Linked DNA regions of Ovis aries. The protein of the gene in region 1 purifies or fractionates together with the protein of each later gene. This does not show direct contact. Links are inferred from orthologs where the notes say so. Each region holds a gene or a part of one and is shown on either strand. Other genes may lie near its edges.

Region 1 (3,646 bases):
TCCTTTAGCCAAAAGAAAAGCAAATATATGTTGCTTCGTTATTCGCTGGTTTGTGGGTTGGGAGATGGGGGTGCAGCTTTCTTTAGTAAGCTGTGTGGAGACATTCCAGAAAACCTGTCTAGTGATTTATGTCCAAGAATATCCAAGTTCTTTTGGTTTGTTTTGTTAAGGATGTGTGTAAGAATTCGGCTGTGGGATGAGAGGGCGGTAGCATCAGGTGCTTTGGGGAAAATGCTGACCCTCCTACTTGAGAAGCAGTGTAGCAGTTAGGGTTCAGAAGTTTTCCAAGAGAAGATGTACAAGGAAATGGCACTGGAGAGCGAAGGGACTAGAAGGACCGACTGTCTCCAGCCCTTCTGCTTCCCACGTCTGGGTCAGAACAGCCTCCCACACAGAATTAATTCTTGGAATTAGAGGAGACCGATGACCCAAGGCTGTAAAAGACCCTCCTTCATGCCAGACAAGCCCTGCCACCAAGGCTGGATGATGAGACTAGGGAGAGCCTGCTCCCTCAGCCTCCCTGGCCGCCCTTGGCTTTCTCTTGGGATGTCCCTTTCTTTCTTCAAATGAGTTAGTACCGGTGGTCTCCTGCAGGGCTGCAGATCGTTTCCTGTCTCCTGCCGTTTGTCCGTGTGGGCTTCCTGGACCGCTGTTGTTGAGAATGATGACGGTAGCCTCGTTTAGCAGAGTCCACCGTGGGCCAGGGAGGGGCAGGCAGGACAGCACGGTCCTCCCCCAGACGCCCTCCAGGAGGGAAGGGGAAGGGCTTCTGTGTCCTGCGGATGCTGTACCTGAAGAGCGGTGCCTCACGGGCCGTAGGCCACACTTGAACTGGTGTGGAGGCAGCCAGCCGAACCTTCTCCTTCTCGAGAGCTGCGTGGGAACTCGCCCGTTGTCAGGGTTTGGGTTTTGCTGAGTCGGCACCTTTGCGTCTTGGGGTGCCTGCCAGCAGCTGCCTGCGGCCTGTTTCTAGTAGTACATACAGATGTTTTAATCCCCTTTTTCCTTCTCTCCCTGCCCTTAAACCACAGAGTGTTTTCTGCTTACATTAAAGAAGTGGATGAGAAGCCAGCCAGCACGCCCTGGGGCAGCAAGATGCCTTTCGGTCAGCTGATGTCCGAGTTTGGGGGCAGCGGCACCGGCGGCTGGGTGCATGGGGTCAGCTTCTCGGCCAGCGGCAGCCGACTGGCCTGGGTCAGCCATGACAGCACCGTGTCCGTTGCCGACGCCTCAAAAAGCGTTCAGTGAGTGTTAGCCTTTGTCTGGACTTACAGAGGAGTGGCGTGGGTCTCTCCACAGCTGGCCTGAGGCCACTCGGCCCCGGTGGAAGTGCAGGACATGAGCATAAAAGCCCTAGCAGGGCTGCACAGCAGCCTTTAAAGTCACCTTCATACGTTTAGATGGTCCATCTGGGGAGATTTTGAAGATTCAGGTCTCCCTTCCAGAAACACTTCTTAATGGAAATGCCCGTCATGAATCCTCCGAAGGAGCCTCCTGGTTTGCTCCTGGTCCCAGAGTTCCTTCGGGTGGCAGTTAATCCATCCCTGAGAATGCCTCAGCATGTGAGTGTCATCCCACAGCCTTAGATGAAGTGGGGGACGTGTTCTTACTCTCTCTGGTTGGTGAGCATAGCTCCATTCACCCGGGGCCTTGGTGACAGCCGACCCCTGGGAGCCAGCCCACCCAGGGTGTGCGCTGGAATGGCCAGGGTCGCAGTGACTCGGGTGAGGAGGCCCCAGCTCAGCCCTGAGGAGGGTGGAGGGTGTCCTTCAGAGCTCGCACCTGCTGCTCGTGCCTGGAGGGCAGAGGGGGGACCGCAGTCCTTGCTGCTTATGAATCTCCGTTTGTTCCTGGCGCATCTCCTTCCATTGGCAGCTAGAGGGAGCCCACCCATCAGGGTCTCCTGACCTGGCACCCTGTTCCGGGAAGCCGTCACATCTGACTCCCCCTGCCCCATGGCAGCAACAAAGTGACATTTCAAAGAGAATGTCTTTTTCACTACTTGGATTGAACTGGTTGGTTTTTGTTTGGTTTTTAAATTTTCTTTAAACATCCCCCCTGCATCCTAAATTACATCATCTTCAAGACGATTTTTCTGCACATGTATAGACACACATCTTTTCATTTTCAGCGCCAGTGGGATTGTGCTCTGCACCCTGTACAGCAGTTTGCTCCTCGTCCTTCAGTCACGTCCTGATGTCGTGGCTGCTTGCTTTCTGTAGTTTATTGTGACACATAATGAGCTCTGAGCAAATGCTCACAAGCCCCTGTCTACGTCCTACTGACTTATTTGCCTTTTCCGGTGCTGCAAGTCAGATCACATCCTCCACCCTTCTCCATCTCAGACACAAGTGTTTCCTGTAGTAAGAGCGAGGTGCGCTGCAGGAAAGCCTCGGATGAGGCGTTAGGGCTTTAATCCAATGCCAGTCATGCTGGCGGAGGAGGCGGTTGCAGGGGTGACTTTCACATGGAGCCATGTGACCCTTCCCTGTGGCTCAATGGTGAAGAATCCGCCTGCCAGTGCAGGAGATGCAGGTTTGATCCCTGGGTCGGGAAGAGCCCCTGGAGAAGGAAGTGGAAACCCATTCCCATTCCATGGGAAAATCCCATGACCAGAGAGCCTGGCGGCCTGGACCCTACAGTCCATAGGGTCACAAAGACTGACATGACTGAGCCCAACCGCAACGCATTTCTGGGGCATCTGATCCTCCATCAGTCAGCATGTTTGCTGCTGTATCTGTATCATTTCTTGGCAGATGGCCACGAAGCATACATGTGCCCACACACATGGCCCATTCATTGGCCAGCACTGTTTTGTTCGTCAGTGGCCATAGCTACAGCCCCGGTGTCTGACGGGCACAGACTAGACTTCCATGAATGTCTGTGGTCCCGGCCCACTCGGAGCCCCTGTGAGCACAGACGAGGATGGCGTCAGAGAAGGGCCTTCGGTCGTGAGTGACGGTGACAGTCAGCTCTAGGAGGCCAGAGAGAGGGGAGCCCTGCAGGCTGCAGTGGTGCAGGAAGGCTGCTTGTGGGGGTGATGAGACCCAGGCCGAGTTTCAGAACTCAGGGTGGACTCAGGTGGGCAGGAGGAGGGCATGTGGGTAGCAGGGAACCAAGGCCAGGGTGACAGAACCGGGAGGGGTGGGCACAGCCAGAGGGGCAGAGGCCCCTGCTGCTACAGGTCACCTCGGGGCTCGCCCGTGCTGGAGATTGCTGGAGGTCACAGGGCTTCTCTTAAAAAAAAAGATTTATTCACTTTAATTATTTGGCCACGCAGGGGCTCAGCTGCCACATGTGGGATCTTTTGTTGTAGCGTGTGGGATCTAGTTCCCTGCAGGGGATCTCATCCGGGACCCCCTTCATTGGGAGCACGGTCTTAGCCACTGGACCCCCAGGGAAGTCCCCACAGGGCTCCTCTTACGAAGCGTCCGTCCTTCACGCTGTGACGCCCCTTGAGAACATGTGCCCTGTCACCCCCTGTGTCTGACGAGGCTGCGTGGCCCCTTCCAGCGTGTGTTAACCGGTGTTCTCGTGCTCAGGGTCTCAACTCTGAAGACAGAGTTCCTGCCCCTCCTGAGTGTGTCGTTCGTCTCAGAGAACAGCGTCGTGGCTGCTGTAAGTATTTCTCTTATTTTCCCTCACG
Region 2 (3,746 bases), on another chromosome or scaffold:
GGGGGAGAGTGATGGCTTAGCTACTATTCTCACAGCACCTACTGTGTGCCAAGTGAGGGGCAGACATTTTACTGGCTACTCACTGAATTCCTCACTCAACCCCAAGAGCAGGGACCATGCTCATCCTCATCTTACAGAGGAGGAAACAGACTTTGTAAGCATGCAGCAGGTCCAAGCTTACCAACATGAATCCAGGTAGTTTTGAATTTGTTCAACTAACTGCCATGATATACTATACTACTATGCTTGTCTTTCTGATGCTCTTCCCGTCACTTCCACTCTTCCTGGGTTCTGCTGAGCCCAGAGTTCCAAGCATCCGGTACTTAGGCTAATGTTCTTCGTGCCTCCCAGCCTCTTCTTGTCTCACCCCTCCCCACCTCTGCCCCTTCTCTTTGCCCCACATAGTAAAGAGATACCTGGATCTCTGGACAGCCAGATATACCTGGATTCAAGCCCAGGCTTGACCAATGTCTATGTAGCCCTGAACATGTTAATTGATTCTGAGTCGGTTTTTCCATGCGTAAAATGGGGACAAAAGAAGCCTGAATCTGTTTTCCCTTAAGTCTGAATCTGTAAAATGGGGTAATAATGGTACCTACCTCCCTGGGATGTTCTGAGGATTTAGAGTTGATGCCAGTCAAGAGCTCAGTTCAGTGCCTGGCACAGGAAAAGTGGGGCTGGTTAATGGCTGGCCCCACCCATGGATCGCCCCAATGTCCCGCCTTCAGGGTCCCAGTTCTCTAAGGACACCCTATCGCGGCCCCCGCCCCCTCTACCTTCTCCTTGCTGCCTCCAGCGGCCCCGGGGCCGCGGGAGGGGCGGAGAGTTCCGGTCGGTGAGAGCAACCGCCCCGGAACTGGCTATGTGAGGGCCCCCTGCAGTTGACAAGGGGGCGGGAAGACGCGAGTACCAACCCCAGTCTTTTGGTGGGGGAGGGTTGCGGGCAGCGAGCTAGCCCGCTTGCAGGTGGGGTGCAGAAGGTATGCCACGGGCGTACCCTAGGGAACACCCCGGCGCTGGAGGGAGGGGCTCGGCAGCCAGGCTTTCGGCCCGGCAGTTAGTCTCGCCGAGCCCCAAAGGCTGCAGGTAGGAGGGGCCTGAAGATAGGATGGGGGCGCAGAACCGGAAGGATCGAAAGGCTCCTCCGCCTTGCCTTGCCCTAATATGGTGCCAACCTGAGGTCGGGCTGCACCATTGCATGACTATGAGGGAAGGCGGCGGAAAAAAGACGAGAAAGCCAAAGTCACAAGCAAGAGCTCCATGGGGAACGGGAGAATCTTGAGTAGTGATTTTAAGCTACAGAAGCCTAAAGCTACTAAGACAGTCCTAACGGGAAAACTTACGAGGGACCAAATGTTCTTAGCCTCCCCCTCCCCCGCTCGGAACACAGATGGTACAGTCCGGACGTCCGGGCGGAGACTGCGGCTGCGCTTCTGGAGAAAGGGCAGGCGTCGCGGGGCGGGCCACTTCCGCACTTCCGCTTTCCGGCCCAGCCAGCGCCCGCGATGGTGAGAGCCGGGCCTCGGGCCAGGGACCCCCGTCTTCTGCCTCTAGGCTCTGGGTCTGGGGGAGATGCGACTTTGGAGCGGAGAGGCCCTGGGCCGAGGGATGCTGGGGGTGCGGGGGTACCCTGAGGCTGGAAGAAAGAGGGCGGGGCAGGGGCTGAGGTGAGGAAGGGGCGAGCGGGGGACGCCTTCGTAAGAAGCAGGCTTTGAGGCTTCCTATTCTGTCCTTTGAAGCTGGTGGGGGATACTGAGGCAAGAAAGAAGCCGGAAGTCGCTCCTCCTCGGTTTGTGGTAGCGCCTCGAAGGCACGTAGTACACCTTATAGCCCGTAGTAGGGCCGCTGAGGCATGTAGTAGGAATACCTCCCTACCCAGAGTAGACGTTCACTAAATAAACTCTTTTCTTTCTCGCTTGCTTGATCCCACAGTTCTCTGAGGGAAGCCTCCATACTTCCTTTTCCCACTCCTCATGTTGCCACCAGCTCTTACTTTTACCTCACTGAAGGATCTCTCTTTTGCTGCCTCCACGCAGACCCCTTCCTGGTCAGAATTCAACCGTATCAGCCTTAATATGGAATGTTAAGCTCTGATGCCGCTGACCTTTGCCTTTCAGGAAGTCGTCCCTTTTGATCATTGTGGGTGTTTCTTAACGTCAATTGAGAGTTTGGGTCACTGCCTTCCCCTTCTTTATCTTCTTCCTGTCGATACCTATTTAATGCACAGGTCTTCATGACCATATAATTTATGATGACTCCTAAATCTGCCTTCCTAGCTCTCTTTCAAGGTTTACCTGGATATCTTGAAGACACCTTGAAATTAGACGTCTGGATTAAAACTCACCTCTCCCTAAATTTGCTTGTTCTCTTGTATTCCTTATTCTTGCTCTGTGTTTTCTTACCTCAGCTAGAAACCTGGGATATTCTTTTGTTGTTAAACTGAGGGGATGCCTCTTGATTTTTTTAAACATCATACTTGTTGAAGTATTACACAAGAAGGTGCTTACTCCATTTGTGAAAGGGCAGACGTCATAGGGTTGACCACCCAAAATGTACCTTTTTCAGATTTGCTATGAACTTTGACAGATACAATCTTGCTTGTCCCTCATTGCCCCAGGCCAGGCTCTTATTACCCTACTTAAATAACCGTCTCTGCTGGCTCTGTCACTTCCCTCTCCTCCAATCCATTCTCCACAAAGTCTCCATGCAGTTGTAGTTGTGTAACTTCCTCCTCAGAAAGCCCCAGAAGTTCCTTACCACTTTTAACAGAAGAGCTAAACTCAGTAGCCTAGCATTTGAGATTCCTCATGAATCTCTGGACCCCATCTGCAACCTCATCCATTGAATCTAAAAAAATGCTTCCTGGCAACATTGTACTCATTACTACTGTAATGCCCCTATTTGTTACTCTAATCTTGTTATTTTTTCATTCATTCACTTATTGTACAGAAACTGAGTAAGATGGTGTATAGGAAAGGTCCTGACTGAGCAAGTTGCAGGGTATGTAAATTTGAGTAGAATAGATACGGTCTGTTAACCATGGAGCTTTCAGTTTAGTAAAGGAGAAAATTACTTTTCTTGGAGTTATTTGAAGGGTGTATCATTGTAAATTATAAGTGCTATGAAAAGGGAAGTCAAGAATGACCTCTGAGGAAAGAAGAGGCCTTCTCTGAATAAGCCAAGATCTAAAGGATGACTTAGGCAAAGAAGGGGGAGAAAACCCTGCAAGATAGATGGTTTGGCATGTGTGAAGGCCTGGGGTGAAAAAGAACTTTTAGCTAATACAAGGAATTGAAGAAAGTCCTTTGTTGCTAGATGCCATTTCCTCTACCAGGAATATCATTTTTGTTTTTATCATTGTAAAATCCTAATCCTATTTCCATCTTCAAATCAAAACCAGTTTCTTCTGCAAATATGATTTGTAAATCTTAACTATTTCACATTTTATGCATTGTATCATAGTTACTGTCTGTCTCCCTGACCTGGTTGAACTATTTAAGGGTAGAAATGGTCTTGGTCATTGAATTCCCAACCCCTTGTGTGCCCTGGCACACTATAGATATATACATTTGTTGACTCAAAGCGCAGATTGAAGACAGTTATTCACCTGTGTGCCTCTAGACCAGAGTTTCTCAACTTCAGCACTATTTGGGGCTGAATAATTCTGTTGTACATTGTAAGCTATGTAGCAGTATCCCTGACTTCTGTCTATTCAATGCCAGTAACTCCTACCCAACCTCAGTTGT
Region 3 (3,746 bases), on another chromosome or scaffold:
TCACTCACCCCTCCTCCCCATTTCTCAGCGCCCTCTGTATTATAATTTCTATTGCTCTTAATACAGTTTGTATGTTTTGCCACTAAACTGTAAACCCGGCAGTGGAGAGAACTTGTTCATTTTGTGCCTACTGAATATTAATGGTCAGCATAGTCCCTGCCCTAATAGAATGGGTGAGCAATTCTTATTTGCCAAATGAATGAAAAGCTTAAATTCCATTGCCCAGGCTGGTCTAACACCACTCTATGTTATCTTCTGAAGCAATCAGACATCCTTTCTTAGGAAAAATGTTATTTCAGTCACCTATAAGTGAATCCATATGGTTTATCAGAAGATAAACCAGAAGAGAAAAAAGCTATTAATATTATAGGTTTCCTAGGTGGGGGGAGGTCCCAGACCAACACCTAGGAACTGGGTAGAAATGCAAATTACTAGGCCCCACTCCAGACCACCTAATCAGAGAACTCAAGGGATGTAGTCCAGCATTCTGTGCTTTAACAAGCCTTCCACGGAATTCTGATGCACACTTTGAGAAGTTTAAATGTCACTGTTCTAGGCTTTCTAGTTTTTTTTTTTTAATTAAAAAGTTTGGTCCTTAATCCGTCGTTTCATCCTGCAAGTAGAATAGTACAACCTAAAACTACCCCGGAGAGTACTTTTTTCTCCTCATTCAAAGCCACCAAAGGCTTACATTCCTGTGAGGTGTGCCTTCCTCGTGGGCACAGGCCTGCCCTCCGGGTGGCCTACAATCTAACCCTTGCAGTAACACTTGTAATGTGCCACGTTGTAACAATGCGTAAGTGTAACTGAAGAAAACAAAACAAAACAAAACAGTACCAAGGCAGAGGAGCCACGGTGCAAGCCTTTGTTCCTCTCTCCTCCAACGGCTCACCCTCCGTCTGATATAGCTCTTTTCCAACCAGAAAAGGAGCCGCTCAAGATATAAAATCGGATGGGTGCCGCTGACAAGGTTTTCAATTAGGCCGTTTTCGTCGGAGCACCGGAAGATAGTTGTGGCTGTGGAATGCGATTCCATTGCTTCCTCAACCTAGCGCAGAAGTACTTGCAACGAAAAACCCCTTCCAGCTTCAGAAGGAGAACTGGAGACTCGGGCAGACCTACCCAACCCTACCTGGAGAACACCCGAAGTGGACTACCTCACCTTCGGAATGGGAGCGGCAGCCGGCGGCGCTCCTCAGTGCGCATGCTCTCTCGCCCCGCCCGCTCGGAGCCGGAAGGGGGAGCGCTCGAGGCCTAGGCCTGTCCTGGCCGGGGCGTCGGCACTGGCGGCCATCTTGGCTTCCCGGGGAAAGGCGGTGTGAGGGGAAGAAGTTGTAGGGTGGGGGCAGGAGTGAGGAGGAGGGGAGAGAGAGGGGGAGGAGGCCGCGGCGGGGCAGGGCGGGGACTGCCTGCCTGCCCGGGTTGCGGAAGTGGTAGCCGCTGACCGAGCCTGCTTCTCTCTCGCTACTGCTTCGGCTTCCCGGCTCCCCCCCAGACGGAGAGGGTGGCCCGGCCGTGGATGGTCAGATAGCTTCCACCTCCCGCCGCCCATCCCTGGCCCCAAACGGCACGGAGCAGACGGCGGCAGCAGCAGCAGCAGGCGAGGAGGAAGATGGCGGGACGGCTGCCGGCCTGTGTGGTGGACTGTGGCACGGGGTAAGGGGGCTGATGGGCGGGGGTGGGGAAACTGAGGCGGAGGCAGGAAAATGGCGGGGCCGGGAGGAGGCCGGGAGATGAATGGAGCGGCAAGGTGCTGCCGCCGGCTGTGTCAGCCCGGGCCGCGCCGGGTGGCGAGGGGTGGGGCCCGCAGTCAGGGCCTCCCTCATCCCCCGCGCTGCACCCTCTGGGAGCCGGGCGGCGGCGCGGGGCCCAGAAACCCCGGGGAGCGGCTTCCTCCGCGCCACCCCTCCCGGCCCTTCCCCCACCGCGGTGGGCAGCGCCGCCCGAGGGGCTGCGGGGACGGGCGCCTCCCCGGGGCCCGCGGTCGCGTGGGGGTGGTCTTCGAGCCCCGCACAGCCGACCCTCCTTTGCCCGGTGCCCTTTCCTGCCCGTAGGTTTGGAGACCGGGGGGAATGGAGCGCGGGGACTGGCCGGGCAAAGGAGCGAGAAAAGAGAAGCGCTCCTTGTAGGTTTTGCAAGATTGCTGTGACAACATTCTACCCGGGGTGTGGGAGGGGAAAGGGAAGAATCGGACCCTGAAAATGGGAACCTAGATCGGGGCTTTCATTGGACCACCCACCTCCTCTTCCTTTTCGACTCCCGGTCTTTTCCATCTCCCACTACGTTCCTACCGGCCAACCAACTCACATTTTAATTTGAGAGAAAGATGTCATGTGTTACTTCTCTTGCCTCAAAAAAGTCCCCCAGTGAGCAAGCGCGCTGCAACTTCCTTAGTTTTGTCAAAGCCGCTTCCTGCTTTCAGTCTTTTATACCCTTATAAGGTAGTTTTTCGTTTCCAACCTGAACACATCTTATTAGAACTTTCAAAATCAAGCAGTTTTCAAATAGGCTGAGGTACTGGTGCTAGGTATGAATTTCTGTGAACTTAAAAAGTATATTTGCGTTGCACTGAGAGGAAGGAAGTGAAGCACCCAGGAAAATTAAGTTGTATAGGTTCATTCTGTGACCGTGTCTTAAGGAGAGAAGGAAGGTAATAGAGTTGTAAAGGGAGGTACTTGCTTTTCAAGGAGTTATTATGGATCTGCAGTGTAGTTTACTAAAGTATATAACGGTGTGGAAGTGGTCGTTCCTTTTGTATTAATAGGCGTTTATAGCACACTTTATACTATCGTAGAAAATATTGCCTGTGTTTTAATGCAGAGTGACTGCTTTATGTTTCACTATTGGAAGTGTTTTCTTGTGCTTGTGAATGCTGTGCTGATACATGATTACTTCTCCAATTCCCCCAATTTTGGACGGAGTTATGAGAAGTAGATTGTCAGCCTTTCCCTTCCCTTTTTACTCTTTAGCGAACTATTGTTACTTAAAGGATGGTATACTCCTCACTCAGTTTGTTCTGTGTGAAATTTCTCTATAATCCTCATGATCATACCTTTATGAAAGTGTGGCAGTTTGTAAAATCCCAGCCGTGCAGAAGGAAATAACCGATTTATTAATATAATAATAAACCAGTGTTGTTTAGCCATGAAACTTCTATGTAGATTTTTGATGGATAGGTGATTATTTTTCTTAATCCAGTTTTATTTGCTTGAATCAGTATTTTTTTTTCCCGCCTTCCTTCTTAGTCCAGTTGGGGAGTAGTTTTATGTTTAGGGTCAGTTTTAAAATTAGATTTGGCAGCTTGACTGAGAAAGAATTTTCAAGTATGTTTTGTTACAGTGAAAAATATTGCTACATAGTTAATATTCTATGCTTTAGTAATTATTGCCTTGTCGATAAAATTAGTGTAGATAATTGTTGCCCTAATGGTAATATCTTAGGTAAGGTGTTAACTTTTTCTCATTTAATTTTTTCCCTTTTGAAATCTTGATTACGTTTGAATTAGTATGCTGGGTATTTCTTTGAGGTTAACTATCCTTAAGTGTCTTTCTGATAGGGCAGCTTTGAATTTAAAACACAGACTGAGTTACCATGAGGTGTGGGGGAGGGGGTTCAGTCTGTACTTAGGATGCTGCCCAGTCTTGGTTGTTGAGCTGTGTCCGACTCCTTGCGGCCGGGTGGACTGTAGCCTGCCAGGATCCTCTGCCCATGGAATTTTCCAGACAAGAATACTGGAGTGAGTTGCC

What was found.
Region 2: the proteins of ARPC1A (region 1) and ARPC4 fractionate together in Homo sapiens (co-fractionation; 7 studies listed by BioGRID and IntAct, with this or other methods). This does not show direct contact. The link is inferred for Ovis aries from reciprocal best matches to the Homo sapiens genes ARPC1A and ARPC4.
Region 3: the proteins of ARPC1A (region 1) and ACTR3 purify together in Homo sapiens (affinity purification with mass spectrometry; 7 studies listed by BioGRID and IntAct, counting the BioPlex papers as one, with this or other methods). This does not show direct contact. The link is inferred for Ovis aries from reciprocal best matches to the Homo sapiens genes ARPC1A and ACTR3.

Annotation. Positions count from the first base shown.
Region 1 is NC_056077.1:37,465,836-37,469,481, reverse strand, and holds part of ARPC1A (actin-related protein 2/3 complex subunit 1A), read left to right. Parts: intron 1-1,031; coding exon 1,032-1,244; intron 1,245-3,542; coding exon 3,543-3,618; intron 3,619-3,646. UniProt on the Homo sapiens protein: Probably functions as a component of the Arp2/3 complex which is involved in regulation of actin polymerization and together with an activating nucleation-promoting factor (NPF) mediates the formation of branched actin networks.
Region 2 is NC_056072.1:16,893,164-16,896,909, reverse strand, and holds the start of ARPC4 (actin-related protein 2/3 complex subunit 4), read left to right. Parts: upstream 1-1,471; 5' UTR 1,472-1,505; coding exon 1,506-1,508; intron 1,509-3,746. UniProt on the Homo sapiens protein: Actin-binding component of the Arp2/3 complex, a multiprotein complex that mediates actin polymerization upon stimulation by nucleation-promoting factor (NPF).
Region 3 is NC_056055.1:178,988,775-178,992,520, forward strand, and holds the start of ACTR3 (actin-related protein 3), read left to right. Parts: upstream 1-1,398; 5' UTR 1,399-1,612; coding exon 1,613-1,656; exon of another isoform or gene 1,657-2,368; intron 2,369-3,746. UniProt on the Homo sapiens protein: ATP-binding component of the Arp2/3 complex, a multiprotein complex that mediates actin polymerization upon stimulation by nucleation-promoting factor (NPF).